Notamacropus eugenii: one gene and its partners. The protein of the gene in region 2 interacts with the protein of the main gene of each other region in a pairwise test. Links are inferred from orthologs where the notes say so. Each region holds a gene or a part of one and is shown on either strand. Other genes may lie near its edges. The genes, in order: PDLIM1, GFAP, NXF1 and ZC2HC1C.

Region 1 (7,952 bases), on a different chromosome or scaffold from region 2:
ACTCCCATACCACATGTGATAAGGAACATCTATTAACATGCTTTGTGATGGTGCTATAATTAGGGAAGACACCTGATCTAACTCTCTATTTAAAAGATGTTTTGTGTGTCACTTATAAATCACTCAACTAGGAAAAGGGTGGCAGGTACAAACATGAGAACCAGGAATAGAAAATTATGTAAGTGGTATTTAAATACATAGAGATAATTCATTCACTCAACAAGCATTTCAACCACCATATATTTACTGACCACTTTCTATAGGCTCCACAGTATGTGAACTTCACTCTGTGGAAATTACAGCTATGACATAGAACAATCTCTAAGGTGGTAGGCTCTAGATGTGGAAGGGTACACACATATACTGCCAGATGAAGTCGATGTGTGGGTTGGTTTTGCTGAACTTTTTTCTTTGTTAATCTTTGTTCTAAGAGATGGCTTGCTGGGAAGGAGAAGAGGGAAGGATATGTTTGTAAATGAAGATCATGGAAAAACAAAAGAGAGCAATAAAAAAAATTAGACAGTCTGTCATTGGGGATCTTATACTGTGGCCAGGGAGTCAATATCATCTTTTACCTAAAGTAGTTATTAAGTGCTTACTGGATACTAATGGAGATACAGATTAAATAGATCACTCCTGCCACATACTCTAGTAAGAAATAAAACATAGAAAAATAACTATAAATAATAATTGTATACCAACATAAAACTAGAGAATCAACCAACAACCACTTCACTGCTTACTCTCACCACTTACATGCAAGACACTGTGTGAGGCTCTGGGGTTACAAACAAAAAAGTCTACCCAAAGGAGTTTATGTTTTGCTGGAGAATACAGCATATTCTTTTCTGAAATGTGATATTTCATTGTACTGACTTTATTGAATGTTACAAAAATTCACGAAGTATGAAAAATCACAGGCCTAAGACCTGGAGGGACCTGAAAGATTTTACAGATGAGGAAACTGAGGCCCAGAGACTGGGAGTGATTGGCCATTGTTCACACAAGTAAGTGACAGGGTCAGGATTTGGCACCAGATCTTCTAAATCCAAATTACGGGCTGTTCAAATGTGATGTTGAATAGATTGGAAAGAGGTGTTGTGGGGAAGTAAGTGGGTCCAAATTGGGCCTGGAAAGAAATGTAGGATTTGTACTGGTGGGGAGAAGGCACTGCTGTTATATGCATTCACCTTCCACTTAGTATTCGTCCCTCCCCCACCTCAGACATCCCATTGCATGCCAGGAAAATCGCTGGGCATTTATGACTGCCATCTGTGACAACTGATGCCAGCTGCTTGTTATATGCCTCCTCCCTCACAGAGCCCCTGTCTAAGGGGCATTCATTTGAGCTTTTTCGGGCCAGAGATCTGTAAAGTGTTACTGGGGGTTCAAAAATATTTGGAGTTGGAACAGTTGTAGTTCCAGGCTAAAGAGGCATCTCCCAGATGAAATCAGTAAGCACAGTGAAAACCCTCACCCTCAATCACTATGGAAATGAGGGTGCGGTAGGGAGTATTGGCAAAAAGTCAACAGATGGGCTGGAAGATCATGGAGTGAATGACTTAAAGTTAAAAGGGGCCGCCGACGTCATCCACTCCTCCCCTATTTTACAGATGAGGAAACTGAGGACCCAGAAATTAAGTAACTTGCTCAAGGATGTAATAGCAAAGGACGATGCATAGGATTTAGAGTTAGAAGTATCCTAGGCGTTCACCTAGTCCAACACCCCCCACCCCTACATCTTCGTTATACAGAGGAGGGAAGTGAGGCCGGAGGGGATGGTATTAAGTGACTTGCTCAGAGGTACCCAAGTGGTAATCATCAGTGGTGGCATTTTAACTCAGGACTTCTGATTCCAGAGCCAGTGGTGGTCTTTCCACTGGAACTCAAAGTCTCCAGCTTGAAAGTAGAAGATAAACTAGTTTTTGCCACTTTGGGTAAGACGACTTACCCTTTTGGGAAACTGAGGCGATGACTGGAGCAGAAAGGATCAAAGCCAGTGACATGTAAATGAATATACAAAACAACAATAATTAGTGGGGGCGGGTGGGGGGAGTGGAGAGAAATCCCACATTCTGTTATCCAGGATTCAATGTCAGGTGTGCCTGGGCCATTCAGTCAACTCACTAGCAAAGTGGGGAAGGAAATTAACGTTCCGCTCCGGGGACCGAGGAACAACACCCCCACCCCACCCCAGGCTGGAGCTCGGAAAATAGTTGTGATTGATGGACTGAACAGATAAGACAGTCGCGCACCCGGGGCCCGAGGCATTCCGTTTCAGGGGACGTAGTCTTGACCCCCACCCAACCCCCCCTCCCCCGAGGATGTAAACCTCAACTCGTCCCAACCCGTCCCTACCCGAGATGGGCGACAGTAATCGAAGGGAAAGTAGAAGCGCGCACCAGCGCACCTCCTCACCCCACGCGCGCTCGCCCGCTGCCCCAGGTCGGATCGCTACAGCCGCACCTGGACTGCAGGAACGTGTGATTGCCCTACACAGTGGTGAGCCGGGAGCGCCGGCGAGAGGGGCGAGAGGGAGGGTGCCCCAGACAGTCCCCGGCCCCTGGGACCGGACCTTGTACTGCTCCCGGAGCCCCAGCCTGCCGGGAAGGTGGCCGTGCCAGCCCGTCTCTCCATTCCAGGTCCCCTCCACTCAGCCCCAACACAGTTCTCCACCCCGGTGCCTTCGCGCGGCCCCAGAGTAGGCACCGCAGCGCGGTCGGGACCTTACCCGGGAAATGGCGAGGGGCTGCTCGAAGTCCTTTCCTCCCACGAGGCGGAAACCCCAGGGCCCCGGCCCCTGGATGACAATCTTCTCTGTGTTCATGTTTCCCAGCCCAAGTGAAGTGGCCGACGGAGAAGGGACTCGGCTTGCCCTTGGAGCTCTCGGGGAGCCGACAGGAGGAGTGAACAAGAGGGCAGCGCAGCGCAGCGCAGCACCCGGGTCAGCTTTGCCGGAGCCCGAGCCAGAGCTGGGGCTGGGGCCACCGCAGCTGCGGCTCCGCCCAGCCCTGCCTGGTCTGCTCCCGCCCCTGTCCCCGCCCTCGCCTTTGCCCTCGCCCTAGCCCAGACTCAGTGCCCCCGCTCTTCTTGGCCCTAACCCGGTCCTGGCTGTCAGGGTCAAGCCGGGGCACCTCGACGGTGGGACATATACAGGCGAGGAAGGAGAGCTTTCCAGGACTGGGGTCACTTTGGCGCGCACATGGTAGAGATGCAGGAGGATCCCATCAGCTCTTGCGGTCCCCTCCCAGTCCCGCATCCCCCCTTCACCCAGGCCAGGGAGCCCCAGGCTCTAAGCAGGAGGTTCGGGCAGGCTGAGGCCCGCATCTCTGCCTGGTCCGCAAGGTGAGGAAGGGTGGAGAGAGGAAGGGTGGGGTTGCACCGGTATTTGGTTTTTAACCCTTAAAGAGCTGTGTAGCTATCTTTCCTGAGCTCAATCCCACATTCACTTCTATTAAGCACGTAATAGTTGATTTTTTCGGATCCCAAAGACAGTCTAACTAGACTTCAAATTTTCTTCCGTTCAGGACAACTCAATTTAGCCACTCTGACTGACATGAACAGTTCACAAGTCTGGAGGAAGGCGCTTCGGCTGAGGATGGAGGTGTAACTCCATGAACCGAAAAATGAAATAAAAGATAACCTTGGGAAGAACACTGGATCGGACTTTGTTTGTACCTCTGATTTTCTGGATGACTGAGCAAGACACCATCTTTCCAGACTTCAATAAAGGAACGAAGAGAAAGATGAGCAGCGGGTTGTAGTGAGTTAGTAGGAAGATGGGCTTCCAGTCAAGATAGGCTGGATTCAAATCCATCCTGTCGGTGAGACCAGGAACAAGTCACTTAACTTTTCAGTGCCTAGGGCAACTCTCTAAATAAAATGATTAAAAAGGAATGCAGATCTACCTTGGGAAAGGGAGTTTTCTCATCTGGCATGGACTAAATTAATCAAATTGTGGGTCATCAGTTACAAAATAAATAAAATTGAGATGATTAGGCCACAAGACAGGTTTCTTCTAGGTCTAAAACAATCACTTCCAATGGTTCCTTCCGGTTTTTGAGATGAGGGCAGTGGTCTTGTTTTATGTTTGTGTATCACCCACAGTGCTTAGCAGTCTTCGGCTGGTAGCTGATAGTAAATACAGCCTTAGTGCCCCAGCCACAGTCTTTGTACAGGCATCGTTTACAAAAATCTGCCACTTGGCTCCCTCCCACTTATTTTCACTTATGCCCCATTTTATCTGCCTTAGATATGCTGCTGACACTGAAGTCTCAGTCATTATCTGACATCTGGATCTATGGGAGCTAGGTGCTGGAGAAGCTTAAGAGGAAGGGTCAAATCTGGTAAGAGGTGACCTAGAAGAGCTACTACTCAAAACTGGTGTGAGATAGGCCAGATTCAATCCCTGGCAATGTCACAAAATCAAAAACCAATTTAGAACCCAGGCCTCAGCTCCTAGCTATCATTGTCCCTGTAAACCCCAGAGTTAATGTGGTAACACTCATCTTGAAATTCTCAGTTCTGAAGGGTATCTGACTTCATCTTCTCCACCCCTCCCCCTCTGTATCCCCAGAGGAGCTGTGAAAGCAGAAGCAACAAGCCTCTCAGTCCTAAAGCAGAGTTGATAGATGGGGGGTCCTGGGACAAAAGAAGAGGGAGGCATCTTACACAGTTTGCACTCTGGGATAATCACTCTGTTTACTCTGCTTTCTAAGTGTACCATCGGACCTGCTTCTCTCTTTATGGAAAATGAGCTAAATAAATATGAGCAAACCGGTATCAGTGGCACCCAAGGCAGGACCTACACTTCCTGTCTCCTTTGGTCCCTCTCTCTTTTTTAATTGTCCATTCCCTCCTGACCTCCTTTACCTTTACTATTTTTCCCCTGTGTGCTGACCTCCCCCTCCTCTCCCCAGCAGAGCCACAGACCCCAACTCAGGGCCTAAAGGCCCTTTGTAAGAAGCCTCAGTTTCTCACAGCAGTGAGTAAAAGACAGACAAGGGAAGCTCATTAGGCACCAAGCCACAAACTCTATTCTCCCTAATCCCTCCCTTCTCCAACTTCCTGTTCCAGCCCCTGTTAAAACCAGAAGTGGCATCTCTGGATTGGATCCCTCTGTGGTCCCCGGCAACTCACAGAACATGCTCAGCCACAGGTTTCAATGGGGAAAATTTAGCTCAGGATCAATTACCCTTTATTTCTAGAAATTCTGAGTGCACGATCAAGCCACATAAATAACAGAAAACTGCAAAGAGTACTGAAAAAATATAGCACTTAAGAGAGAGAGCATGATGTGGTGGAAAGAGTACTGAAGTTGTCTGTAGAAGACCCGAGTTCCAATTGTACTTACCACCTGCGAGACCATGGGCATGTCACCTCTGGTCTCTGGGACTCAGCTTCCTCAAATGGAAAATGAAGGTGCTAGATTAGATATGCTTTTCAAAGTCTCTTGAAGATCCGACTCTATGATACTGGACAAGATGCTGGGTGAGAGGGGGGCAATTATGATGATGACTAAATGTTGTCTACTTCTATCTTAGCTTTCCCTCAAAGTCAACTCTGCCATGTCTGGGTCCCAAGATAACATAAGCAAGTGGCCTGGGAAAATAAGAGCCCTAATCAAGGTTTTCCAGTGAGTCGTGGTTTAACCAAGGGCGAAGGAGGAAGGGGGAAGAACTGAATAGAGCTCCAGGGGGAGGAGATCATTGAATGGGTCTTATTACTTGAGAGATTGCTAGCCACATGCTGAATAGAGTAGATTGTAAGTAGAGCATCTTGGAGATACAAATCAGATGAAATTGAACATTTCCTCTAATGCCTATTTCCTTTACCCAACAATTCCCAACCCAGCATTCTTCATCTGACTCTTTCAGCCATATTTATTTGCCCATCAGCTCAGGTTGCTTCTCCTAGGATGCTATTCTATCAAGGATTTATGGCAAGGGTGGGGAACCTGCAGCCTCAAGGTCACATGTGTCCCTCTAGGTCCTCAAGTGCAGCCCTTTGATGAAATTCAAACTTCACAATGATTTGTTTTAGATTCATTCAAAGGGCTGCACTTGAGGACCCAGAGGGTCACATGTGGCCTTGAGACTGCAGGTTCCCTACCCCTGGTTTATGGCCTGCATCTGAATTGTGGGCCCCTGTGGCTTTCTAGTTATCTACCTCCAAACAATTCAGTGACAGTAGACATTTTGCTGTTTCTCAAAGAGAACACTCTATTTCCCATGTCTGTTGTGGACGGCATCTGGGAAGCATAGTGGATAGAGTGCTAGACATGGAGTCAGGAAGACAGTACTTCAAATCCTGCCTCAGGCATATAGTGGCCATGTGACAGTAGGTAAGTCACTATCCTTTGAGCCTCAGTTTCCTCATCTGTAAAAGGGGGGCAATATTAGTATCTAATCATGAGAATCAATTGAGTTAATATAGGCAGCTAGGTGATGGGTGGATAGAACATTGGATCTGCAGTCAGAAAGACAAATTGAAATCCAGCCATAGACACTACTAGCTGTGTGACCCTGGGTAAGTCATTTAACCTCTATCTATCTCACTCTCCTCATCTGTAAAAAAGGAATATTAAGAGCACCTCCCTCTCAATATTGCTGTGAGGATCAGATGAGATAAGATTTACAAAGTGCTTTGCAAACTTTAAAGCACCATGTAAAGGCTAGCTGTTATTATTAAATGTACTTTGCAAACTTTAGAATGATTTATCAATGCTAGCTGTTTATTAGCATTGTTATTATTACATACACGAATGAGAGACAGCATGTGTAATAGAAGGAATGGTAGGCTCAGTCAGGAGAGACCTGGGTGTGAATTCTGACTCAGACACTGGTCACTGAGCACCCTCTCTGTGGGTCTCAGCTTCCTCCTCTATAAAACAAGGCTCTTAAGACAACCAGTACCTAACACATAGAATTGTTGTGAAGATCAAATGAGATAATATGCTATAGAAATGTCAGTTATTAATGTTATTATTAATTGTCTAAACCTGTGATTTCATCCACATAGGGAGGAAATTCTTTTTACCAAAGCAGATTGGCAACTATACTATAATTCATAGACATAGGGAGTTGCTCGAGGCAACTGATTTGCCCAGGGTCACACAGTATGTCAGAAGTAGGACTTAAATCCCAGGTCAGTGCTAACTCCAAGTCTACTATGCCTCTAAGATCCAGTATTTTATAGGAATGGATTAGCATTTCTCAATTTGGTTGTTCTCAGAATCCCTTCACATTTCCAAAAATTATTGTAGATCCCAAAGAGTTTTTGACTCTATGGGCTGTCGATATTGATATTTACTCCATTTGGAATTAAAATGGATAATTTAAAAATATTTATTTATTAAATTAATTGATTAGTGATTAATAAAGTATTTGAAGATAATAATTAAAACTTTTACATGTCCACATAAATTTTTTTATGACAAAAATGATTTTCCCAAACAAAAAATAATAGTGAGAGGAGTAGCATTATTTTATATATTTTTGCAAGTTCTTTGAATGTCTGGCTTAATAGAAGACAGCGGGATTCTCTTATACAGTTTTGCTTTTAAGCTTCAATATGTTGTTTTGACTGAAGTATATGGAAGAACTTTGGCCTCACACAGATATGCAGTAGGAAATGGGAGGAATATTTTAAAAGGCAAATGACATCTTAGTATTATTATGAAAAAAAGTTTTGACTTTAAGGATCTCCTAAAAGGGTCTCAGGTACCTCAGGTATCCATACAGAACCACTGGTATACTTAGTCCCTGGGACATAGATCACAAGCTTCTCACTCTGCTCCAGGCTATGATAGATTTGCTTAGGCCAAAAACTTGCCTCACATGATGGCCAATCTTGTGATGATGGACTTCTTGTAAGTATATTAGCTCATTCCTAGCCGTTGAGAACCCTGGGTAACCTCCATACTTTTACATGGAAGTAGATTGCAGTAGGAC
Region 2 (7,466 bases):
GAATACAAGGAGAAGGGAAATCCTGGAACATTCTGGTTTTCTCACTTCTTCATGAATCTTCCTGAGAAAGCGAATCTCTTCCTGCAGAGACTCAACCTTCCGTTCCAGATCCAGGCGGGCCAGAGCAGCTTCATCAGCCTCCTGCAGCAGGGAGAGGAGGACTAGCTCTGACCTCAGGATATCATCCCCTTCCCCAATGCCCCCCTCCCCCCCATATACACACATTCACTCTCCTTATCCCTCAGCTCTGACCCAGCTTCCATTCTCCAGGGATAAGGGAATAGTACAGAGAATGAGTAGGACAGAGATAAAAGACAGGACTGGAGACAAGCCAGGCACAAGGAAAGAAGGCAGAGCTGAAGGATGATGGATTAGGGAGAGACAAAGGCAGACATAGGGAATGGGGCAAAGACAAGAGACAGGGAGAGGCTGAGTTTAGGGGATGCTGCCACCTTTTTGCCTGGTTCCCTCCAGCCCCTCCAAGTCCCCTGACCTGTCTATAAGCTGTTAGATTGTTCTCTGCCTCCAGTCGAAGGTTGGTTTCATCCTGGAGCCTGCAAGGAAGGGGATAGGCACTTAGGATGTGCCAGGTGCTTTTTACAAATATGATCTCATTTGATCCTCACAAAAAACATTGTGAAGTGGGTGCTATTGTTATCATCCTTATTTTTACAGTACAGGTAATTGAGGCAAATAGAGGTTCAATGACTTGCCCAGGGTCACATAACTAGGAAGAGCCTGAGGTTGGATTTGACCTGAGGTCTTCCTGACTCCAGGCCCAGCACTCTACCCACTATGTTACATAGTGACCTTAAATTGTCCATGAGATATTTGAAGGCTACAGAGAGAAGGGTCCCAACAATCCTCTGGAGTAAAGGGGAAGTTAAGGGGAGGACAAAACTTTTGCCCTTCCGACAAACTAAAAGGGCCCTGAGCTATCACCTGGTTCCCATTCCCTTGTTTGAAAATGAAAGAATGGAGATCCAGAGTTGGGGGAGTGACCTGCCTAGAGTCTTGCAACTAGTTAATAGATTATATACATGCATTATTCCACTAACCCATCTATATCTCTCTACACAATGATATGCACACATATAAAACACTCCCTCCCCTCCTCTTTGCTTCTGGCCCCCTCCAATAGCCCAGAAGTTTCTCCATGGGGTTTCTTTCTATTGCCCATTCAACTCTGGGCACCACAGGCTATCCGAGAACATGCCTATTAAGAGCATGTGAGCAGATTGTCCACATGGCCCCAGAATGAGGAATTCATCTCTAAATCTGGATGTCAGCCTGGCCCTACAGTGCTGCTCAGACTCCTGCCTAGAATCTCAGGGCATTTTTAGACTGACTCCTCCCAATGTATTCTCTGGATTTTTCAGCTTCTGTTTTCCAATCCATATCCAGGTAGTCCCTGCTGATGCTTGTGTCTCCCCTTCATGCTTAGAACAAGGCTTTGCCCACAGGGGATAGTTGATCTGTAGCATGAATAAATTGATTAATTGAATAACTAAAGGGCCGCCAGATTCTTAGAGGTGGCCATGAAGAATAATGTAAACAGTGGTCTCACACCCATTCTGGCAGCCCACTCTATCCTCACTCTTTAACCCCTTCCTTTCCTTCCTCCCCAGCCCTGTTTAAGACTCCCCCTCATCTCCGGGATGCCTTCCTTAATTCTTCCTACCTGTCTTCCTGACTTCCTTCCATTCCCCGTGAATTCCCTGAGCACCGATGCTCACAGCTCTACCCAAGAGCCCATCCTTGTTTCTATTTTGGATGGGTCTCTTATGTACCTGGTCAGATTAGAGGGATGTGTGTGTGTGTGCACGCGTATCTCTCCTTGGGTTCAGCACAGGACTCTGCTCACAAGGATGAAACAGTTCACAGTCTGTGTGAGATGAGCAGACTAATGAACTGAGTGACTAATAGACCCCCCCAAACCAGAGTCTGAAGCACAAGAACCACAGTTTCATAAACATCCAGGATCTAACTTTGTCTTTCCCTCTGACACTCGCATCCCTTTCTCCCTCCTTGATTTCTACACAGTTCTGAGTCCCAGAGAGGTCAAGCAAGATGCCCAGAGTAACCTAGTAAAGCAAAAGCTGTCAGAGTCCAGGCACCCTGCCATTTGTCCCATACTTCTCCTCCAGAATGAGCTACTGCTCCAAGAATCAGACACATTTTCCCAGGAGAAAACTGAGAACGAGAATCTTTTGTGGCTTTTGGATTTGACCTTGAGGTCTCCTCTCCCTACCTTTTCTAGCTTCATCTCTTCTTTTTATTTTCAGTCTCATCACAGACCCAAGAAGTAGGAACTATTCTTATTAAGTTGGGGAAAACAAGACTGTAACATCCTAGATTTAGATTGAGAAGGGACCCCAGAGATCACCCAATGCAACCTCTTCGTTTTGCCCATGAGGAAATTGAAGTCTAGAGAGATTCTGAATTGCCCCAGGTTACCACTGGATAACCTTGCTCCAGAGGGGGCGACCAGCCTATTCAAGTCACACTGCACCCTTTCCTCTCCCTTTCTCCTTAGGACAACCACCTACTCACTTCTGTCTCAAGGTGGCCAGATCTTCAGACAGGTTATCCCTCTCGATCTCTAACCGGGCACTGCTTGCAGTCAGCTGATCCAGCTGAAACCGGAGTCTATGCAGCTCAGCCTGGTAGACATCGGCCAGCTTGGTAGGTTCTTTGCCCCGAAGCTGGTTGAGCTCCCCTGCCAGAACCTTGTTCTGTTGCTCCAGAAAACGGACCTTCTCGATGTAACTGGCAAAGCGATCATTGAGTTCCATCATCTCGGCCCGTTCACTGGACCGTGTTTCTTTGAAGCTGGCATTGAGTGCCTCAGTTACTGAGAAGTCAACTCTAGTGGGAACCGGAGGTGGCATTCTGCTCGGGGAGAGCCGGACAACTGGAGCCAGGCGGCGGGAACCTGGGAAGCGTACCACAACCTCAGAGGCATAGGATCGGCGGGCAGAGGAGGTGATGCGCCGCCTGTCCATCTTGGCCCTGGTTCTGGCTGGATCAGGCAGCCCCAAGGGGGCTTTATAGAAAGGCACACCCAGCTCCACTACCCTGAGCTGTTGGTTCTTGGCACTGCCCATGTTTACTTTGGCACCATTCCTTGGAAAGGGATGAGGCACTGACCGAAGGCCCCCCTGGGGGGGGGGAGCCCTCTTCTCTCCTCTCCCTAGTTCCCATCTCATTATTCTACCGAAGGGAGGGAGAGAGAGAGAAAGGTCTCCCTGTATTCTTGCTGGCCTTTGTATTCTCCAGGGAATTGGAATAAATTATTCTACTGTGATACACCTCATAGGCCTTCCCACTCCAAACATAGGGCTTCTCAAGGGCGTTCATTTTTCTGAAAATTCCCATTCTCCAAGATTCTCTTTCTACCCCTGTTTCCCTCTATACCAAGAGTTTTAGACCTGGAGCTTAGCCAGGACCTATCAGTCTGGAAACCTGGCTCCTAAAATCTCAAAACAGGAATGGACCGTCAAGATCTTTTAATGCAATTCTCTCATTTTGGTGAAGAGGAAACTGAGGTCCAGAGAGGTCCTTAGTTATGTCTAAGTTTATTCAAGTAGTTAGTGACAAAAATGGGGCTAGAACTCAGGCCCTCTTGACTTCTATTCTGCCATCTTTTCCATTGGTCTTCATAGAAGAGAGGAATGACTTTGGGGGATGGGGTGGTGGAGGTGGGGGAGATTAGTCAAGGATGAGCCAGAGGAAGGCATAGGACGTCTCTGGCCTTCCCAACCATGCCACCCTGCCCTGGTTCATAACCCTCCTCTGACTGGGCGCCTTACCAGAGCCCAGGACTGGACAGCTCCACAAAGCCATTACAGATGACCAGGGAGGCTGTGTGGTGCTGAGCTGTCTCCCAGGGAGAGTTCCCAGGGTCCCGTCCTCAATACTCCATCCTCTCCCTTCCCCCACCAATATCTCACTGAAGATTTATATCCCCTGAGTTCCCACACATTAGATCCTCTAGGTTCCCTGGCAGAGGAGCTAGGTACTGGTACTCTGGGAAATAAGAAAATGGGGAGGAGCAAAACTTTGGGAACAATAAGTTAACCTTTGAGGTAAACTTTGGACTGAGAGTTCTGGTGCCTGGGATCCCTGGTTCCTATCCTGTCTTCAGACCTTAGTGTTCTCGCTTCGATAACATAGAGTTCAAGCTCCAGTCCCAGATTCCCTGGGCTTCTGTGAGATAGGCATCCCTCACCCCCACCCCCAACTATTCTCAGGCTGCTGATTTCTACTTGCCTGGGCATTTGCTGAAAGGATTATTGTTCTGAGAGGTTTGGGAGGAGAAAAATGTCAACCCCCCAGGAGGTGAAGCTGCTTTTATCCCAAGGATGCAAGATTGCCAAACAAGGGTGCTGCCCAAGCTCTCAGCTCAATGGGCTTCTCGGAAAGAAGTGGAGTCAGGCTGATGAGCAATAGGCAGTGGGCTCTGTGCCCACCCTGGAGCCATTGTGTCTGTGCCAAGGTGAGTCATGCAGTGGGCAGAAGAAGCTGGGTAAGGGGAGTAGAGACGGGAAGGGGGGAAGAGGAAAACCCAAAGCTAAAAGAGAAATCATCTTCAGAGAGAGGCCCCAGCTCCAGTTTACAGCTACTGCTCCCTCCCCAACTTTTTCCACAAAGCCAACTTGACTCTCCTCATCACAGTTTCTCTGAGAAACTCAGTGGAACCTTGAGTCTGAATTACAAAGCATTGTCTCCAACTGGAGCTTATTCCACAGCTGGCCAATCAGTGGCACCAGCGTGGGCTGGGGTCAGATCTGGGTATTACCTCTGAGCCCCCATAAGGAGGGGGAGCAAGATGAAGTCTGTAGTTCCAGAGCCCACACTACCCAAAGGCGTTTAGGTCTGGAGCACTTGGAGAACCCTGGAGGCAGGGCCCAGGAAAGGCTTGGACTCCCCCACAGGTAGGAAAAGGGCTGGCTGTAAGGTATTAGGGAATGGACAAGATTGAGGGACTGGACTTTTTCATCTTCATTTTTTAGAGAAACGGAGGACATTTCCAGTGGGATTCAGCAAGTTTGTGTACTCTTCCCCCCAGCACCCTGCCATTTACATTCAAGAGAAAGTAACACTCCAGTGAACTTTAAAGATGCTATCAAACCCAATCAAAAGTGTTTATTAAGTGCCTACTACATACAGTGCCAGGCACTGTGCTAAGCACTGGGGTTACAAAGTATGGCAGAAGACAATCCCTGCCCTCAAGTAACTCACATTCTAATAGGGAAGACAATATGTAAATATGTACAAACTATATTGAGAGAGAGATGGATAGATAGATATAGATAGATAGATAGATAGATAGATAGATAGATGATAGATGGGTAGATGTATGGGTGTAGAAAGAGAGAGAGAGAGAGAGAGAGAGAGAGAGAGAGAGAGAGAGAGAGAGAGAGAGAGAGAGAGAGAGAAAGAGAGAGAGGGAGGGAGGGAGAGAGAGAAAGATGATAAATTAGAGGAAAGGCACTAGCATTAAGGGGATCTGAGAAAGTCTTCTTGGAGAAGCAGGATTCTAGCTGATTTTAAGGAATCCAGGAAAGTCAAGAGGTGGACATCACAACCCAGAAGACATTCAGTGAAAATTCAGAGTTGGGCAATGGAATGTCATATTTGAGAAACAGCAAGGAAGCCATTGGAGGGGAATAATAAATCACAAAAACAAGCTAGGTAGCCCTTCTTTGCTTTTGTAATGATCATGAGGGACTAGTGACATATAAGAGCCTTGAGAAATCTCATCTGCTACTTGCTGTCTTTCTGAATCAATGCCCATCTGCCAGTGACTTGCCCTATCACCATACCCAGGGGATAGCTATGAGAGCAGCCCCACTCTTGATTCCTTGCCTCATCCTCATCACTCACCCTCCCTGAAGCCCTGCTCTGGTTCCTGCCTCCAACCCTATACCCCATTACCACCCTCTACATAGACAGTCACAAAAACAGACAGACTTGATTCTGAGATACACTCCACAGGACAGATGCACCCCAAACTACAGCCAGAGGCCCTCAGCTTCATCTGACCACTCTCCTTCTGCCTAGGTCCCTTTCCAACTTGGGTCTTTTCCTGATAATATTCTCCCTTCGTGTACCCACTCCCTCTATAGTTCAGAACTCCAACCTCACGAACATAGGATCATGGAGGAAGGCACAGGGCAGCTGAGAACTCAGTCAACTAGCAAAGATCTGGACCCTTGGTTATATTTTTTAAATGATTTATTTTTAGTTTTCAACATCTACTTCCAAAAGATTTTGAGTTCTAAATTTTCTCCCCCTCCCTGTGACAGCATGCAATCTGATATAGGCTCTACATCTTATATTCACATCTATAGATTTTCACATTAGTCATGTTGTGAAGAAGAATTAGAACCAATGGGAGGAACAAACAAAAAAAAAGAGCAAATAGTAGACTTCGATCTACATTCAGACTCCATAGTTCTTTTTCTAGATGTGGATAGTGTTTTCTATCATGAGCCTTTTTGGAGTTGTCTTAGATCCTTGGTTACATTTTTTTTAAAGAATGTTAGAACTGGAAGGCACCTTAAGAGATCACCTAGCTCAGGCATGCACTTAATAAATGCTTGTTGATTTATTGACTTATCTTGTTCAACCCTCTCATTAAAAAAAAAACAAAAAACAAAAAACAACTGAAGCTTAGGGATATTGTCATAGCACATTGGAAAGATCCCAGACTCTGGAGTCGAGGGACCTACATTCAGATCCTGACTATGAAACATTAGTTGTGTGACTGTGGATGAGACACAACCTTCCTGTGTCAAAGTTCCCTCTTCTGTAAAATGAGGGGGTTGAACTAGATGGTTCCTGAGGGTTCTCTCAGTTCTAGACCTATGATCCAAGTGAAGAGACAAAGAACTCAACAGAGCTTGACTGACTAAGACTAAAAAGGGTCCAGAGATCCAGGTTGGGAGGAGAGTGAGTAGGGAAGTGCAGAAGTTGTTGGCCTGGCCCCTTTGGAGGCTGACCCTAGGGTCAATGTCCTGGCCAAACACTGAGTGAGAATGAAGTGTCTAGCTGGCAGCTAGATGGCAGTGCCCAACTGCCCAGGCCAGAGTAGAAAGAATATCCTTAAACAAAACCTATTACATCCTTTATAGTAACTCCTCAGCTTTTTATTCCAATGGGAATTAGTCCTTTGCTGCATCACCAAATGTAGCTCCACCTGATGTCTTCCTGTTTTCAAAAATCCAGTCTACTCTCAGAGGAGAGGAATTTGCCACCACCGAGCATACTGGAAAAAAATTGTACTTGGAGTCAGGAAAACCCAGGTTCAAGTTCTTTCTCTGACACATGACCGTGTGACTCTAAGCAAGTCACTTAACTTCTCAGTGACCTAGGCAATGAAGACTTGAGGTTGCAAATATTGATTGGTAGAAGAGGTTTTGGCAAGAATTCCCCATACCTATGAAATCAGAGATCTGGAT
Region 3 (7,007 bases), about 330 Mb from region 2:
TTCTAGAGCAGGAGAACGTGGTTTTCAAAATTTAATCTGGAGTCACAAGGATGGTTCAAGGCAAGGTGGAAAAAGCTGTCTCCTTCAGTCTAGTCCTCACCAGGCACTTCCTCTAGGCTACTGTGGGAGGGTCCCCTCAGGTTTATTTCCACCTGCCGGACACCTTAACATTCCCTCTATTTCCATTTTCTCCTCAGCCCTGGTGGACCTCACAGAGCATGATTTTGGGGGGGGAGAATGAGTCTCCTGCTGTCTTGCCCACTCACAGGCCTCAGGCCTCCTGGGCTACCCTTCCAGGGTCTGCCACACTGGGGTGCGCCATATCAGAATCTCTACAGGGGCATACCTCTGTGAATGGGGCCCTGCTGCCTCACACAGAATTTTTCAAGTTCCCTTCCCTAGTAACTTCTCATCTGCCCCCTAAGTGCGGCTTTTCTCCAAAGGGCTGATCCCATGGATTCCCAAGGCTTCAGTTTTATTTTTATGTAGATGATTCCCAAAACCTGACTTCCACCCCAAGCACTTCTCCCAATTCCACATTTTTAAAAATGAAATCTTCATGTTCCCCTAAGATTCTGCCTCTCTAGCTTTAAGAAGCCAGGCACACAAGCACTCTCTGTTGGCAGACCCATGAATTAGCTCAACCACTCTGGAAAGCATTTGAAATTATGCTAAAAAAGTGCTATTCTTTGCACTTCAAAGAGGTCAGAGACAGAAAGGCTCTATATTTCAAATATTCATAGCAGCCCCTGTGAGCGCTGGAGGCAAGAGAGGATCCATGGAGGGCCAGCCAAACAAACTACAGGGAGGAAGGGAAAAGAATATGACAGCACTGTAAGAAACAATGAATATAAAGGTGGAGAAAGTCTGACCAGTGCACCAGGAATCATATACACAATGACAAGCACCCACAACCCTGCACCCTGTGTAATCACAAGGACCTTCTGAAGAGGTGAGAAAGCATGCCCCACTGAACAAGTGGGGGGGGGGGGCGGTCACAGGGGCTAGACTCTGCCAGACAGAAGTGGCAGACCTGGCTGGGAAGAACTGCTTTTTGTATTCTTTGTTAGGAGGGATGGCTCTATGTGAAGGAGAGGGGGGGAATTACTTGATGAAAAAACAAGTGTCCATAAATATAACAAAAATGGGTCTCTCACACAAGTGTTTGTTTACGGTATGACTTCTCTTAGGTACTTAACATTTTAATTCCTCTTAGAGTTATTCCTGTACATGTTTCATCTGCAGAGGTAGGCATAGATGGAGTTTTAGAGAAGATGACTCAAAGGCCCCAGGTCACTCAGATGCTGTCATTCCAGTCAGTGCCAGCTTGGAGGGAGGAGTGCCCTCGGTTCCCCCCCCGCCCCAGGTTCACACACCCACTCCCCTCCACGGCTTTCTTTCCATTCATTCAGCAGCCAGCTTCGCTTGGCCATCACTGCTAACCTCACCTCCTCACTGGCCTCTAGGTCTCCAGTCTCTCCTCTCTCTCATCATCCTCCCAAGGCCCTGAAACTCAAGGCTAACCAAGATGCCCCTGCCATGCTGGCATAGGCCCCTGTCACTAAGACTTTCAGGATCAAGGCAAACTCCTTTGCCCCGTATTAGACCTGAGACACTTCCTAGCATGTGACCCTGGGTAAGGCCCTTCCTGCTGCCTGCCTTAGTTTCCTCACCTCAAACTGGAGCCAACAGCAGCATGTGCCCACCAGGAAGAGTGGAAGTCAAAGATCAGCTCAGGACATAGCGCTAGCTCAAGCCTGGGGAACCTTCGGCCTGGAGGTCACATGTGGCCCTCTAGGTCCTCCAGTGCGGCTCTCTGACTGAACCCAAACTTCACAGAGCAAATCCCCCCAATAAAAGAACTGTTCAGAAGGCCGCACCCAAGGACGCCGAAGGCCCCAAGTGGCCTCAAGAATGTTAATTATCTAGGTGGCTGTTCACAACTGGCCCAGCTTACAGCAGGCTTCTCCCTCCCTGCTGCCCCGTGGTCCTGCGCTGGCTGCCACACCTGCCCACCCCTGGAAGGCCCAACTCGCCGGCCCCCTCCCTCAGCCCCTCCACCGCAGTGACTCCCCGGAGCCCGCCCTGATGCCACCAGCCAAGCCCCGTGCGGGCACAGATGCCCATGCCTGAGCAGACCCTCTGGAGGACCCCCTGCGCCCCGAGTTCCAACGGCACCCAGCCCGCGTGCCCGCCCCCTCCCGTCCCTGGGCGGGCAGGGAGGGGCCCTTTGTCACTCGGGCTGGCCCCTGGAGGTGGGCAGGTCTCACGCAGCCCCGGCCAGGCGCGCCCACAAACGCTAAGGGACCCCTCGCAACAACTTCCCTTCGGGGGCCACAGGAAGGGCGTGTCCGGGGCCCCTGAGGGGGCCGGACCACAGAAAACACGGCCTCGACCCCAGGCGTGGCCGCCCTCCCGGTGGCGCCGGCTTCTGGGAGTTTGGCACGTGGGGGAAACTGAGTCACCGAGGTCTGACTACGCGGCTGGCAGGGCCACGGCCTGGGGGGACCCGCAGACGCCCCCCTCCTGGTATAAACGAAGGGGTCCCGCGCCAGGGCCGCCCCTCCCCCAGCCCGGACCCACCCGGGAGGAGGCACTCAGCGGGGGGGAGGGGGGAAGGAGGGGGCCTCGAGACCTACGGTTACTGCGGCCCGGCCCCGAGCCCGCCGCGCGCGCCCCCGCCCCGCCGGGCGCGCCCCCGCCGCCTCAGGGGCGCCATTCGCGGCTCGAGGCGCGCCCCCGCCGCCCGCACCCAGCGCTCCACCGACCCGGCGGGCCCAGGGCCTCGGCCTCGTCCCCGTCTCCCCCAGGCCTGGCCCCTTCCCACGGCCCGCGGCCGCCGCCTGCGGCCCGGGCCCTGGCACTCACCGATGTACGATTTGCCGTCGTCCGCCATGACGAGCCGGGGAACGCCGGACACCGGCTCTGACAAACGACGAAGCCCCTCGGCGCTCCGCACAGCGCCTGCGCCTCAGAGCGAGCCACCGCACCCCCTTCCCCTCCCCCCCGACGCGCCTGCGCACGCCCCCGCCCCAGCCGGCCTCCACGCGCCGCGAGGCTGGCGCTGAGCCGCGAGGCGGAGCCGGACGCAACAATGGAGCTGGGGCACGCCACGCCTGCGCACACGGCCGCGCGGCCAGCGAACGAGATGCCTCTGCGCCTGCGCGTCCCGCTGGGACAGGCTGGGCTGGCGCGGCCTCCGGCCCCTCCTCCCAGGCCCCTCCTCCCAGGCCCCGCCCCCCAGGCCCCGCCCCGCCCCCGACTTCCCCGGCGCCTAGTCCCAAGCTCGCGGGTTAGGGCTGCGGGGCCCCCGAGGCAGCGGAGGCCTCTCGATCCCTTCCCCGTCAGTCCCCATGCACCTAGTAAGCGCCTACTGCGTGCCCAGTAGCCGCCCAGCGGCGGGATTACAAAGGCAGGAGTGACATTGGGCCAGCAGTCAGGGAACTTGGCCGGAGGCAGCGGGGCGCTCTGGGCCCCGGGTCCGGAAGCCCGGGGGTGACTCCGGGCACGTGCCATCCCCGCGGCGTGCCCCAGTCAGCGATGATCACGTGGGCACCTGCGGGCGTTCCTGTATGTTGTGACCGGGGCCACGCAGGACGGGGGACACGCGGGGGTCCCCGAGTCCGGAAGCGGGTGTGCCAGGTTGTCACCGTGAGGCAGGCGCTGGGGGGTGCAGCTGGGCAGACCTGGCGATCCAGGGGGCGGGGCTGGGGGCCAGCCCTGCCCCAGGACGCGCCTCCCGCGGCTCCGCAGCCCCCGCTGTACAGCCTCCGCTTGGGGTCTCCTCCAGGGTAGGAACGGTCTTTTTAGCTTAGCACATAGTAGGCATTTAATGTTTATTGACTTTAATGGGGCAGCCAGGAGGTGCAGTGGATAGAGCCCCGGTGCAGGAGTCGGGAGGACCGGAGTTCAAACCTCACCTCGGACGCTGGACGCTCGCTAGCTGTGTGACCTTGGCCAAGTCACTTAACCCCAACTGCCTCCTCCTGGGTCATCTCCGGTCATCCTGAGGAATATCTGGTCCCTGGATTCCCATGGCTCTGGAGGAGAAGTGAGGCTGGTGACTGGCACAGCCCTCCGTCACTCAGAACAAAGTCAAGTGCAAGTCATGTCACCATTTCTCTGATGGCATGGTCTTCTTTGGCAACAAAGGACGAACACACATTGAATTTAATGGAACTGGAAGGTCAATAGTGCACTCACCAGGATGTTTTTGTGCGGGGGGGGGGGGGGGGGAATTAGAGCTTATAAGTCATTTTGGACATTTGGAAATATTTAATAGGCAGCTGGCGATGTGCTATTGGAGCTCCTAAGAGAAACCCAGTCCTCGGATCTAGTAGACCTGCCTTAAGCTGACTGTGCAAAGAAATGTAGATCTCAGAGGTTGACAAGGTTACTTTTTGTACCCAGAGGAGGGCCCAAATGGAGCCTTGGGGGTCAGATATTGATAATGGTCCAGCCAAGGACACTTGACAAGGAGGGGTCAGGCAGGCAGACCAAAAGTCACCAACCTAGAGAGGAGGCGGATCCAGGAAAAGGGGCTAAAGTGGCAGTAAAGATGGGATAAGGATGGAGAAAAAGGTCTCTGGCAATTAGTTTTGTTTTTGTTTTTTGAGAAAGCATTTTCTGGGGATGAGGTTGGAAGCCTGATGGGAAAAGGGACAGGAGAGGAAAAGGGATGGAGCATGTGTGTAGGTGGCAAGGAGAGGGATGAGGGGGATGATCTGCTGGCCTTGGTGAGAAGGTCCACCTCTCCAAAAAGGGAATGAGGAAGGATGTCAAAGGGTCTGGTGACTTTGAGAAGGGGAGTGCTCAGGGTCATTTGTGATGTGGACCTGGTGTGGGAGGGCTCTGGTGGAGAGGGGACTGAGGGCCAATGAAAGGACAGCAGCTTCTCTGAAGAGATTCTGTCTTTTGGGTTGCTCCCCACCCACCCAGTAGCACCAGGAAAGGATGCTAGCAAGCAGAGGTTGGGTTTTCTGGGGAGGAGCAGGGCCCGAGAGCTGAGCAGCTTAAAGATGGGCTTTTGATTGGGAGCCAGAGGACAGGTAGCCCCGAAATTGCTGAAGTGGGGGAGAGATGGAATAGCACAGGGAGAACAACACAGAGGGGGTAGTCTGGCACAGGAAGAAAGCAAACCAACATTGTGCCCACTGTGTGCTGTACCAAGGACTTTAGGAACAGCCTATTATCCCCCATTTTAAGACCAAGGAAATCGAGGCAGACAGGTGGTCACATGTCTAGTAAGTATCTGAGGCCAGATTTGAACTGGGGTCTTCATGATTCTAGGCCTTTCCCTCTATCCCTGCCGACAAATTATAATCAGATAAAGGAATTTCAGAGTTCCTGATTAGGGAAGTGGGTCACTTGTTGGGGGTGGGGGTGGGGGGTGGCCAGATCGAAGTGGAGTAGTAGACTGAGGAACTGGGTGGCCAGGGTATTTGTGGGAACATCACCTAATCCAAGAGCAGGGGTTGGGAAGGAGGGGGAGAGGAGGGTCAGACCCTCAAAGTCTCCACAAAGGAGGGAGAATGGATGGAGCGGGGATGTGCACAGACAGCAACAAGAACTTGGCCCGAGTGACGGATTTGGATTCATTCAGCAGAACTCAGCTGAGAACTGGCTGAGGGGAAAGTGGCCAAGTAGAAATGGAATTGATCAGTGCTACAAAGATGGGAAGGGAAATGTATGTTTCAGCAAGATCTGGGGAAGAGCTGGAGAGGAAGAGATCTACATAAAATAAAGGGAGGAGAAATGAAGGAGCAGATTCCAGAGGGCACCACAGATGGGGCTGGGGAGGGGCCTGGGGCCAGCACATAATACATGTATGTTGATCGATCGATCAGTTAGAGATGAGAGAACAGGAAGGGTGGGTAGGGTTGGTTGGCCTGAGACAGCGGCCTACCCAGTATCACTGGACCTAGTAGGGTGAGTGGTAGTTGGGGTGGCTGGGAAGCCAAGAACCTCACCAGGTGATTGGACTTAGGGTCAAATGAGGAAATGTGCTGTGCAAACTTAAGCACTATAGAAATGTGTTTTTATTGACTTGCTAAGGTCACAGAGGTAGCACCCCGCCCCCACCCTGATCACAGTTCCTCCACCAGCCATCCTCCCCACAAAGGAGTCCCAGCCTTCCCAGGCTTTTCCCAGAGCTGGTTCTCTCTGCTAAGGCCCAAAGCCTTGGCTAGACCTGGATACTCTACAGGGCTCCTCCTTCAGAGCACAGGAACCTGTGTTAACAACGGTCTCACTAGGATCAAAGTCGTTGCCTCTCAGCAGGTGACCAGAGATCCAAAGCCTGTCTGGGCAGGGAGCATTTCCAATGAACTTCCTAATAAATCTGATTGTTTAGACAGACCAGACCAGGAGGCTCAGCAGGTTCTTGCTAACCCAGGATCTAGGTGGCAGACAGCAGACTGGCCACAGGGCATCTTCCAGGAGCAGAGGTTCCCTGAAGGCCAACCTGTTTCTTCTAGGCTGGTGTGCTTCATCCACAGCAGCAATCTGAGAAATGACTCCTACAGCTCCCAGACTGCGCAGCTGCCAAGGCTGCCAAGATGGATAATCCCTGGCAGTGGGCAGACTATGGATGGAAGATTCAGTCTCAAGACAGGGGTGGCCTTGGGAAGAGTATTCTTGGAATGCTGGTTGGGGCTGAGACTGCTGCTACAGGCCCACTGTCTGCCTTCCTGGCCTATGCTGCCCCCTCTTTGCAGGCTCCCTCACTGCCTGAGATGATGCCTGAGGGGACAGTGTGATCCCTAGAAGCCTCCCTGGACCTTGAGGGGAGGATCATGAGCCCCTGGCACCCTCTGCCTCCCACCCAAAAGCACAGGCAGCAGACAAGGAAGCCAAGATGACCGATTCCAAGTCTACTTGTAGCTATGAGCTCAGATTCTCCCATTTTCTCCCCTGGCTACTGCTGGAGCAGGGCCATAGCAGGATACACCAAGGGGCAAGGCGAGTCCTCAGTCTGTCAGAGGCAGCACCCCCAGTTTCCTGGGGTC
Region 4 (7,709 bases), on a different chromosome or scaffold from region 2:
TGTAATTTGCACTGGTAAAGTTAAATGTCCTGGCAATTTGGTATCTGCTTTAGATACAAGTTTAAAAATATGAATAACTTGGAATTAAGAATTGTCAGGGTTGTTTTTTTAACTCCTAAGAAACCAATACCAGTTTGTGATACAGGGTGGGAAATGACAGTGCTTCATGAAAAAGACCATGATTCTTACAAGATTCTAGCAGATCAGAACTGGAGAATGTGAGAAATGCACAAAGAAGTTCTACAAAGGTTAGGTTACTTAACTTCTCAGAAATACAAGATGGTAGTGTTACACTCCAGCTCTATTTCAAATTCCTTTTCCCTGCCTCCCACTTAAAATGCTTTTATAAGGTAAGAAAATAGTTCATATTTCTTTGATTACCCTTCCCAGTCCCCAACCATCCTTCACCCAAAATAAAATCCGTAAGCTTATAGGAGTTAACATTACTTACCTTGGCTAAAGTTGGGCCTTTCCAGGCCAGGTACTGTTCCAGTTCAGTGCCCTTAGCCCGGGCCTTGTATGAGTCAAACACTTTCCTCTTGGAACCCTGGATCTTGCTACAGACATTTGTATGTTTCTCTAGCCTTAGCAAGAGAAACTTTCGTCCACAGTAGCTGCACTCACCAAGCTCTGGTTCTTCAATTGAAGAGCTGGAACCTAAGGTGACTGATACCTGAGATGAACTATAATTGGGGGATTTGGGCAAAGAAATTCCAGGATCTTCTTGGTGCTGTGAAAATGACTCAGGGGATGATACTGAAATTTTATCTCGGATTTTATTATTACTTGCCCCTAGTCTTTCCTTTTTGAGTCTTTGTACTCCATGGTTGAAGAATTGGGAACATACTGAAGATGGACTAGAATTCTCTTGGCACTTTTCCCATGTTTCATCACCTCTGCTATGACTATTGAAGACCTCTTCAGGCCTGAATTCTGGCGAGAAGATGAGTTTGGAAATGCTGCTGCTGCTACCTGTGCCTCTTCTCCTTGGAAATGTCTTTCTCTGTAACTCCTTTTTTTCTTCTTCTTCTACCAGCTCCTTTTCTTTTTGGATCCTTCTAAGTTCTTCCTCAGTCTTCTTCAACTTTTCCCTTAGGAGAGTCTCTTTTCTTCGAATTTCTTCCTCTAAGCTCTCACTTGCTGCCTCTAGTTTTTGAATCTGCATTAGCTCAGTTCTGCCTGGATTTAACAAGAATTTTTTGGGCTGAACCACTGGTAGGGGAGCAAGTAGCATCTTAACTGAAGATGAACCCCCCCTGTTCCGTGAACTGAAGTGACTGGGTGTGACCTCTTCTGATTCAGAGGGTTTCTGGAAGAGGTTGTGGCAGTCAGTCTTAATGTGAGTAGCACTCAATGATTTTCGGTGAAACACTGGTTTGAGGGGATAGGCACGATCCACACCAGCTCTCTTTTTTGTGAAGGGCATTGTGTTTTCCTGGTTATCTGTTTTGGTATGTCTCATATGGACTCCAACTGAATAAAAATCCCCACTTCCTGGACCCTGCTGATTGTTTCTTGAATCCTGTTGGCTGCTTTCTACAGAATGAGAAGAGGGATAACTATGGGCTTTAGTAAAGGTGTTCTGCTGGTTATGAGTAAATATATTCTCCAGCTTCTCTTCTTTGTCTCTTAGAAGTTTTTGCTGGAAGTTGTTTTTCAGGTGCTCCAGCCGAGACTGATGGGTAGAGCTGCTCTGTTCAAAACGGGCTGGCCTACTTGAATGGAGTTCCGAAGTTTCCATTTTGTTAAAAGGAAGCATGATGTCCACATGTGGACAAGGAGCCAACTGGAGGCGAGCCATTCAGTGCCTGACCTGAAGCCTGAGAGAGAATCAAAATCAGATTCGTGTTAAAAATCTGATGCTGGGTCTGGGGTGTTGAAGCAGATTCTAAGTTTCCCTTGCTTTTCTCTACCACGTTACTAATGGTGCCAGGCCTGATACAGAGAAAGGATCCTGATAGCACGACTTCCCCCTTAAAATAGCTGCATCTCTCTCCAAAGCCCTTGGTGGGCAGGTTTAGGTATTCACCCAAATCGCCTCTGCTATTTAGTGCCCTAGTAAAGTCTCCTGTGGGGCATGTTACTGCTCCAGAACCTCATGTACTACTGTTTGACTAGTAACGGCTGCAACATGAAAAGAAAAGGGTTTTACAGCTAAGATCTGAATTATTTAAATTTCAAATTGTAATTTTAAGACTAATTAAAGCACTGGATTTGGGGGCAGGTTCGCAGGGCACCAGAAGTTTCCAACAGAGCCCATTTTTAATCTTCTGCCCTTTATGAGATGCCTGACCATGGACTCGCTCGGCCAGGCCTCATTTTCTAATCCTCTTGAAAATGGAAATAACCCTACAGCCGAGGGGCAGTTACGAAGACCCAGGGCTGTGCTGGGCAGTTTGGGCATCTTTACCATCCAGTTCCGTCCCTCTTATTTCACACAGAGGTGACCTGCCCGAGCGCGGACGCCACGGTCGGGGGTCCTTCCACGGTTCCAGTAATGCCAGGGCTAAGGGTGCGACAAGCGATCCCGGAGGGCAGTGCCCGCTCCCCGTCTGCCCGGGCTGCCATCTGGGCCTGATGCACAGGTGGCGCATGGAAGCCGGCGGGGAGGGCGGAGGCGGGACGAGATAACGTCCCGGGGGTCCGTCTACGCCGGCTCCCCCGCAGCCCCGCTCCGCAGCGCCAGCCAGGGGCTGAGGAGGCCCCCGCCCCGGTGCGGGAGCCGAGCCGGGCCGCGCTCCCCGCACACTGGGCAGCGGCAGCGTCCCCGGGGCCGGGCACCGGAGCCCTCGGGCCTGCCGGGCGCTCGGGCAGCGGGGCTCTCCTGGAGCTCTCTGCCCTCGTGGGGAGCGGGCCGGGTGGGCGAGCGGGGAGAGGAGTACCGCCATCCTTCCGGGAAGCCTGCCCCTCCAGGTACCTGAGGCTCCGCCGCGTCCGCTCCGGCTGCGGGAGACCGTGCCCAGGGCGCCAGCTTCCCGGCCCGACCCCGACCGCGGTCCCGGCGCAGGCGCTCTGGACCGCTCTGTTTTTCCGTTGCCTGGAAACAGCGCGAGCCGCGGCGGAGGTGGGGGGGGGGCGGTCCCGCCTCCTGCCCTAGACCCGAGCCCCGCGAGGCCGGGCGTTCTGTTCCGCACGTGCGCCGGCCTCCCCAAGGCTCCCTGGGAGAGGAGCGCGCGTAGGCCGGCCTCCCCAGGGCCTCACCTACAGGTGCCTTGGGAGGAGGAGAGTGTGGCCCGGAGCGGCCCGGACCGCGGGGATGGAAGAGCACCCGGGACGCGAGGCCTCGAGGGGGCCAAAGCGCGGGCCGCTTCGAAGGCCTGGCGGAGGAGAGCCCCTGCGTGTGCCCGCCTGGAGGGCCGGGCGTGCCGGCGGCCTCTTAGTGCGCTCAGCGGTCTCGTGCGTGCTGCGGGCATGCCTGCCTCAGTGTGCCCCTCTCGGGGCCCTTTGCCTGTCCATGACTGGCCGGGAGGCTTTAAAATTATTTTTTTCCGCATATTTTATGGCCAATCAGACACTAGCCCCTGGCGTTTTTGTGGCACTCCATCCCGGCCCAAGCGGCCCATCCCTTAGGGCCTACAAATGACCCAGCGAAGTGGAACGGTCCTGAGGACCGAAGGCCACCGACGGCTTCAGAATAATCCGTTAATACTTGCGCCAGCACTAAAAAAGCCTCCATAAAGGGTCGGCAGAAGGCCTTTTCGTGCCTCAGCTCGCTTTTGCAAACTGCTTTGGAAAACTCTGGCTTTTGTAGTCTTCACACAAAAACCTACGGACCTTAAAATCTCAAAATGTTGTTTTTATTGTAATGTCACTCACCAGTTTCAAAGGGAGCCTGGTTATGAGGCCCTGCTGTAGACTGAAAAAGGAATAACTCATTGGCTGTAATGGAAGTCAGCAGCTTCCTGAGGTACCCGAGCATATATGACAGTGGAGAGGAGACCTGGAACCAAGAGGATATGCTGTTTTAGTCCTTTGTGACCTCTTTTGAGGTTTTCTTGGCAAAGATACTGGAGTGGTTTGCCATTTCCTTCTCCAGTTCATTTTACAGATGAGAAAACTGAGGCAGACAGAGTTGAGTGACTTGCCTAGGGTAGTAAATAGCTGAGGCCAGTTTGCACTCAGGCCTTCCTGACTCCAGGCCCAGAACTCCATCTGCCACTTGACCACCCAGGGTTCGTAGCCGTGTGACTGTAGACAAGTTAGTTTTACCTCTGCCTCAGTTTCCTTAATTGTAAAATGAGAATAACAGCACCTACCTCACAGGTTTGTTGTGAGGAATTGATAACATTTGTAAATCTCCGGTCAGCAAGGAGCCTATATTTTTGGGGGGATGTTCTAACTAGAAGGAACCTTAAAAGTTATCTAAGCCTAGAGCTGTCAAACATTACTCCAGGCCCCATGTGTCTATTACATTACTTAGTGCAGCTTGCACCAGATTAAAATGTAATTGGGAGATATTGAACTAAATAAAAATACAATAAAACAGTGATAATATTACATTTTAAAACTAAGTCAATATGAGGCTTACAAGGACCTTTATATTTCATGGCCCTCATTTCTATTTGAATTTGATACTATTGATCTAACCCACATTTTACAAATGAGGAATCTGAATCCCAGAGAAGTTAAGTGATTTATTCACAGTCACGTACAGGTGGTAGGAGATGGCAGAGGCAGCATTTTAATCCAAATACTCTCCAAATCCAGTGTTCTTCTGAGGGCAACACACGGCTCTCTCTGACCTTGCCACTTAATAGCTGTTGGGCTTGAGCAAATCACTTAAAACTTAGTGTGAGCTGCCTTATTTTCCACACGGGGATAACTACTACCCCACCAGGTCGTGATAAAAATGCTTCAGAATATTAGTCAATGGACATAAAGTTCGGTATGCAGAGCTATAAACTCCTTTTAAGTGTCAACTAAAAGAATGTTTTTGACCAATACTTGAAGGATGGTTCATCCTGCCAGGATTAATACTGATACTGCATATTTTTCACTTGGTTTCATTCTGTAAGCAAGATTTTAGTATCTAAGTATAACCACCTCTCCTGCCTTCCATTCTCCCTGTTTTCCTTTCCCCAAATGAGTCCTTAAAATTTGGTATATGGGATACATGGAGAGAGAGAGTCTGAGATGACTGGCTCAAACATAACTCTGGAGTCCAGGGTTGCTTGTTCTTGTCTATTTGGCTGGCCCTATTGAGTTAAGAGCATAGTAAGGAAAACCAACAGTAATTCATAGCTGACAGCTTCCAGGGGGACGCCAAGGCTGGAAGCATCTTCTCTGCCCATCCAGTCCCACCACAAATTCACCCCTAGTTTCAGTGGTGAAGGAGGATAGGATCAGGGGTGGTCACGTGAGGCTCTCGGCTCTTTCGCATCCCTCGCAGGTGGGCGGGCTCCTGGGCGGGCCGGCCGGCCCTCATTGGCTGAGCGGGGCCACGGGCCTCTCTAGCCGGGAGCGGGGGGAGGAGGAAGGGGAGGACCACAACTCGATGCTCTCCAGGTGCGGGCAGTTGTGACCTGGAACTGACGGTTGGGTGAGGTCCTCCGCTGGCCGCCCTGCGACGTGCTGCTGGGCGAAAGCCGAGCAGGGCCAGCCGCCCTCGGGGGGGTAGGCATGAGGTGTTAGTGGAGAAGGGACGAGGCTGAGGGTGAGCAGCGGAGGGGGGGGGCTGAGGGGGAGCAGCGGGGGGGGGGGAGGCTGAGGGGGAGCAGCGGGGGGGGGAGGCTGAGGGGGAGCAGCGGGGGGGGCGGCTGAGGGGGAGCAGCAGCGGGGGGGGAGGCTGAGGGGGAGCAGCGGGGGGTGGGGTTTGAGGGGGAGCAGCGGGGGGGGAGGCTGAGGGGGAGCAGCGGCGGGGGGGGCTGAGGGGGAGCAGCGGGGGGGGGAGGCTGAGGGGGAGCAGCGGGGGGGGGAGGCTGAGGGGGAGCAGCAGCGGGGGGGGCTGAGGGGGAGCAGCGGGGGGTGGAGTTTGAGGGGGAGCAGCGGGGGGGGGGCCCCCCCAGAGATGCCCCGCTCCCGCCCGGGCTGGCTCGCCAGCGGGGGGCTCCGGGGACTGGGGAGGTGGGAGGGGGCGTCCTTCCTGCCGGGAGGGGGAGGTAGCCTGGATGGCACCTTTGGTGGATGCCCGCCCTTGGGCCCCTAGCCACCAGCACGGCGAGGCTCGAGGGTTTCTGCCAAGTGGAGCGCCTGCACAGCTAGAGGGGGAGGAGGGAGGAATCGTGCCGGGAGGGCCTGCAGATCTTGGGCGTGTGTCTTCGTGTGCATCATATGTATTGTGTAGTGTGCCAGTGTGTATAGGGGGCACTTAGGTTACCCGGTGAAGAGAGCCCTGGGTATGGAGCCAGGATTCGGCCTCAGACGCTTACTGGCTGTGTGACTCTGTTTGCCTCAGTTTCCCCATCTGTAAAGCGAGCTGGACGAGGAAATGGCAAACCAGTCCAGTATCTTTGCCAAGAAAACCTTTTATCATGGGATCGCATAGTGTCAGACACTGCTGAGCATCAGTCTGTGTACACGCACACCCTGTACATTGTTCATGCATGTATATATACACATGTACATTGTATGTGCACATACATGTGTATACACATAAGCATGCATGGTATATGTGCATATGTCTATGCACACGTCTGTATATAGGTACACATAATTCATGTGTGCATATAGTCTGGTATAGCAGGTACATATAGATAGATCAACTGTGTGCTTATATACACATAATGTGCAAACATACATGTGTGTATACATATATACATGCATGCATTGTATGCCTATGCATTGTGAATGTGTGCACACATGCAATACACATATGTGTACATGTGTATATGATGTGTAAAGCAAATGTGTATTACATGTATATATAGCGGACATAAACATGTATATATGTATACATGTATATAATTATATACGTATATATACATAAGTGTGTTTGTGTCCTTCGCTTGATTCCAGTTGAAACATTTATTGTCAGTCACCTGCATTCAGAGCAGACTAAGATAAGATTTCTACTTCTATAGAGTTTACCATCTTAATAACAGGTTCCTTTAGGACATTTTTTGTTTTCTTTTTCTTCCTTTTTATTTTTAAATTTTTTTTGGTGAGGCAGTCAAGGTGAAGTGATTTGCCCAGAGTCATGCATCTGGTAAGTGTCCAGTGTCTGAGGCAGGGATTTGAATTCAGGTCCTCCTGACTAGAGGACTGGTGCTCCATCCACTCTGCCACCAGCTGCCTCTCTTTTTAAAAAAGTCTTCCTAAGGACCTACAAGAGTACATTAGGGACTCAATAAATGTTTTTTATTTGTTTTTTAAACGAATGAACGGATAAAATGACAAAAACCCAGGATGTCCAGAGTTGGACTTGTTTTTGTACTTCTTTTGCTCTGCTTGGTCACCAGCAGGTCTTACCATGGCTGAAGGACACACCCTGTTGTCAGTGGATTATGAAGTCTTTGGGAAAGTCCAAGGTGTATTTTTCCGAAAGTACACACAAGTAAGTGTTCCACACTGGATTTGGAAGATGCTAAATAATGTTTCAACAAAATGAATGTTTTTGTGGATACACATGAACTGTCCATGTTGGAGATGAGACTATAAAGAACTGGTTATTAAAACAGTAGGGCATAGGTTTGGGTGTGAGCTGTATTTTATCCTTTTTGTGCCTTTTGTTTTAATCTATTTCCTTTTTTATTACTTGTGATGTCTGGTTA

What was found.
Region 1: the proteins of GFAP (region 2) and PDLIM1 interact in binary tests that used the Homo sapiens proteins (3 or more experiments, as listed by UniProt). The link is inferred for Notamacropus eugenii from reciprocal best matches to the Homo sapiens genes GFAP and PDLIM1.
Region 3: the proteins of GFAP (region 2) and NXF1 interact in a two-hybrid assay, tested with the Homo sapiens proteins (3 studies listed by BioGRID and IntAct). The two-hybrid records come from large-scale screens. The link is inferred for Notamacropus eugenii from reciprocal best matches to the Homo sapiens genes GFAP and NXF1.
Region 4: the proteins of GFAP (region 2) and ZC2HC1C interact in binary tests that used the Homo sapiens proteins (3 or more experiments, as listed by UniProt). The link is inferred for Notamacropus eugenii from reciprocal best matches to the Homo sapiens genes GFAP and ZC2HC1C.

What each region holds. Positions count from the first base shown.
Region 1 is NC_092872.1:211,875,092-211,883,043, forward strand, and holds the start of PDLIM1 (PDZ and LIM domain protein 1), read right to left. Parts: upstream 3,003-7,952; 5' UTR 2,828-3,002; coding exon 2,732-2,827; intron 1,976-2,731; coding exon 1,952-1,975; intron 1-1,951. UniProt on the Homo sapiens protein: Cytoskeletal protein that may act as an adapter that brings other proteins (like kinases) to the cytoskeleton. Involved in assembly, disassembly and directioning of stress fibers in fibroblasts.
Region 2 is NC_092873.1:348,995,208-349,002,673, reverse strand, and holds the start of GFAP (glial fibrillary acidic protein), read right to left. Parts: upstream 3,016-7,466; 5' UTR 3,006-3,015; coding exon 2,554-3,005; intron 555-2,553; coding exon 494-554; intron 142-493; coding exon 46-141; intron 1-45.
Region 3 is NC_092873.1:15,879,514-15,886,520, forward strand, and holds the start of NXF1 (nuclear RNA export factor 1), read right to left. Parts: upstream 3,018-7,007; 5' UTR 2,897-3,017; coding exon 2,869-2,896; intron 1-2,868.
Region 4 is NC_092878.1:57,916,144-57,923,852, reverse strand, and holds the start of ZC2HC1C (zinc finger C2HC domain-containing protein 1C), read right to left. Parts: upstream 3,007-7,709; 5' UTR 2,918-3,006; intron 1,821-2,917; 5' UTR 1,802-1,820; coding exon 452-1,801; intron 1-451. Other genes in the region: ACYP1 (acylphosphatase-1), read left to right, coding at 7,409-7,492.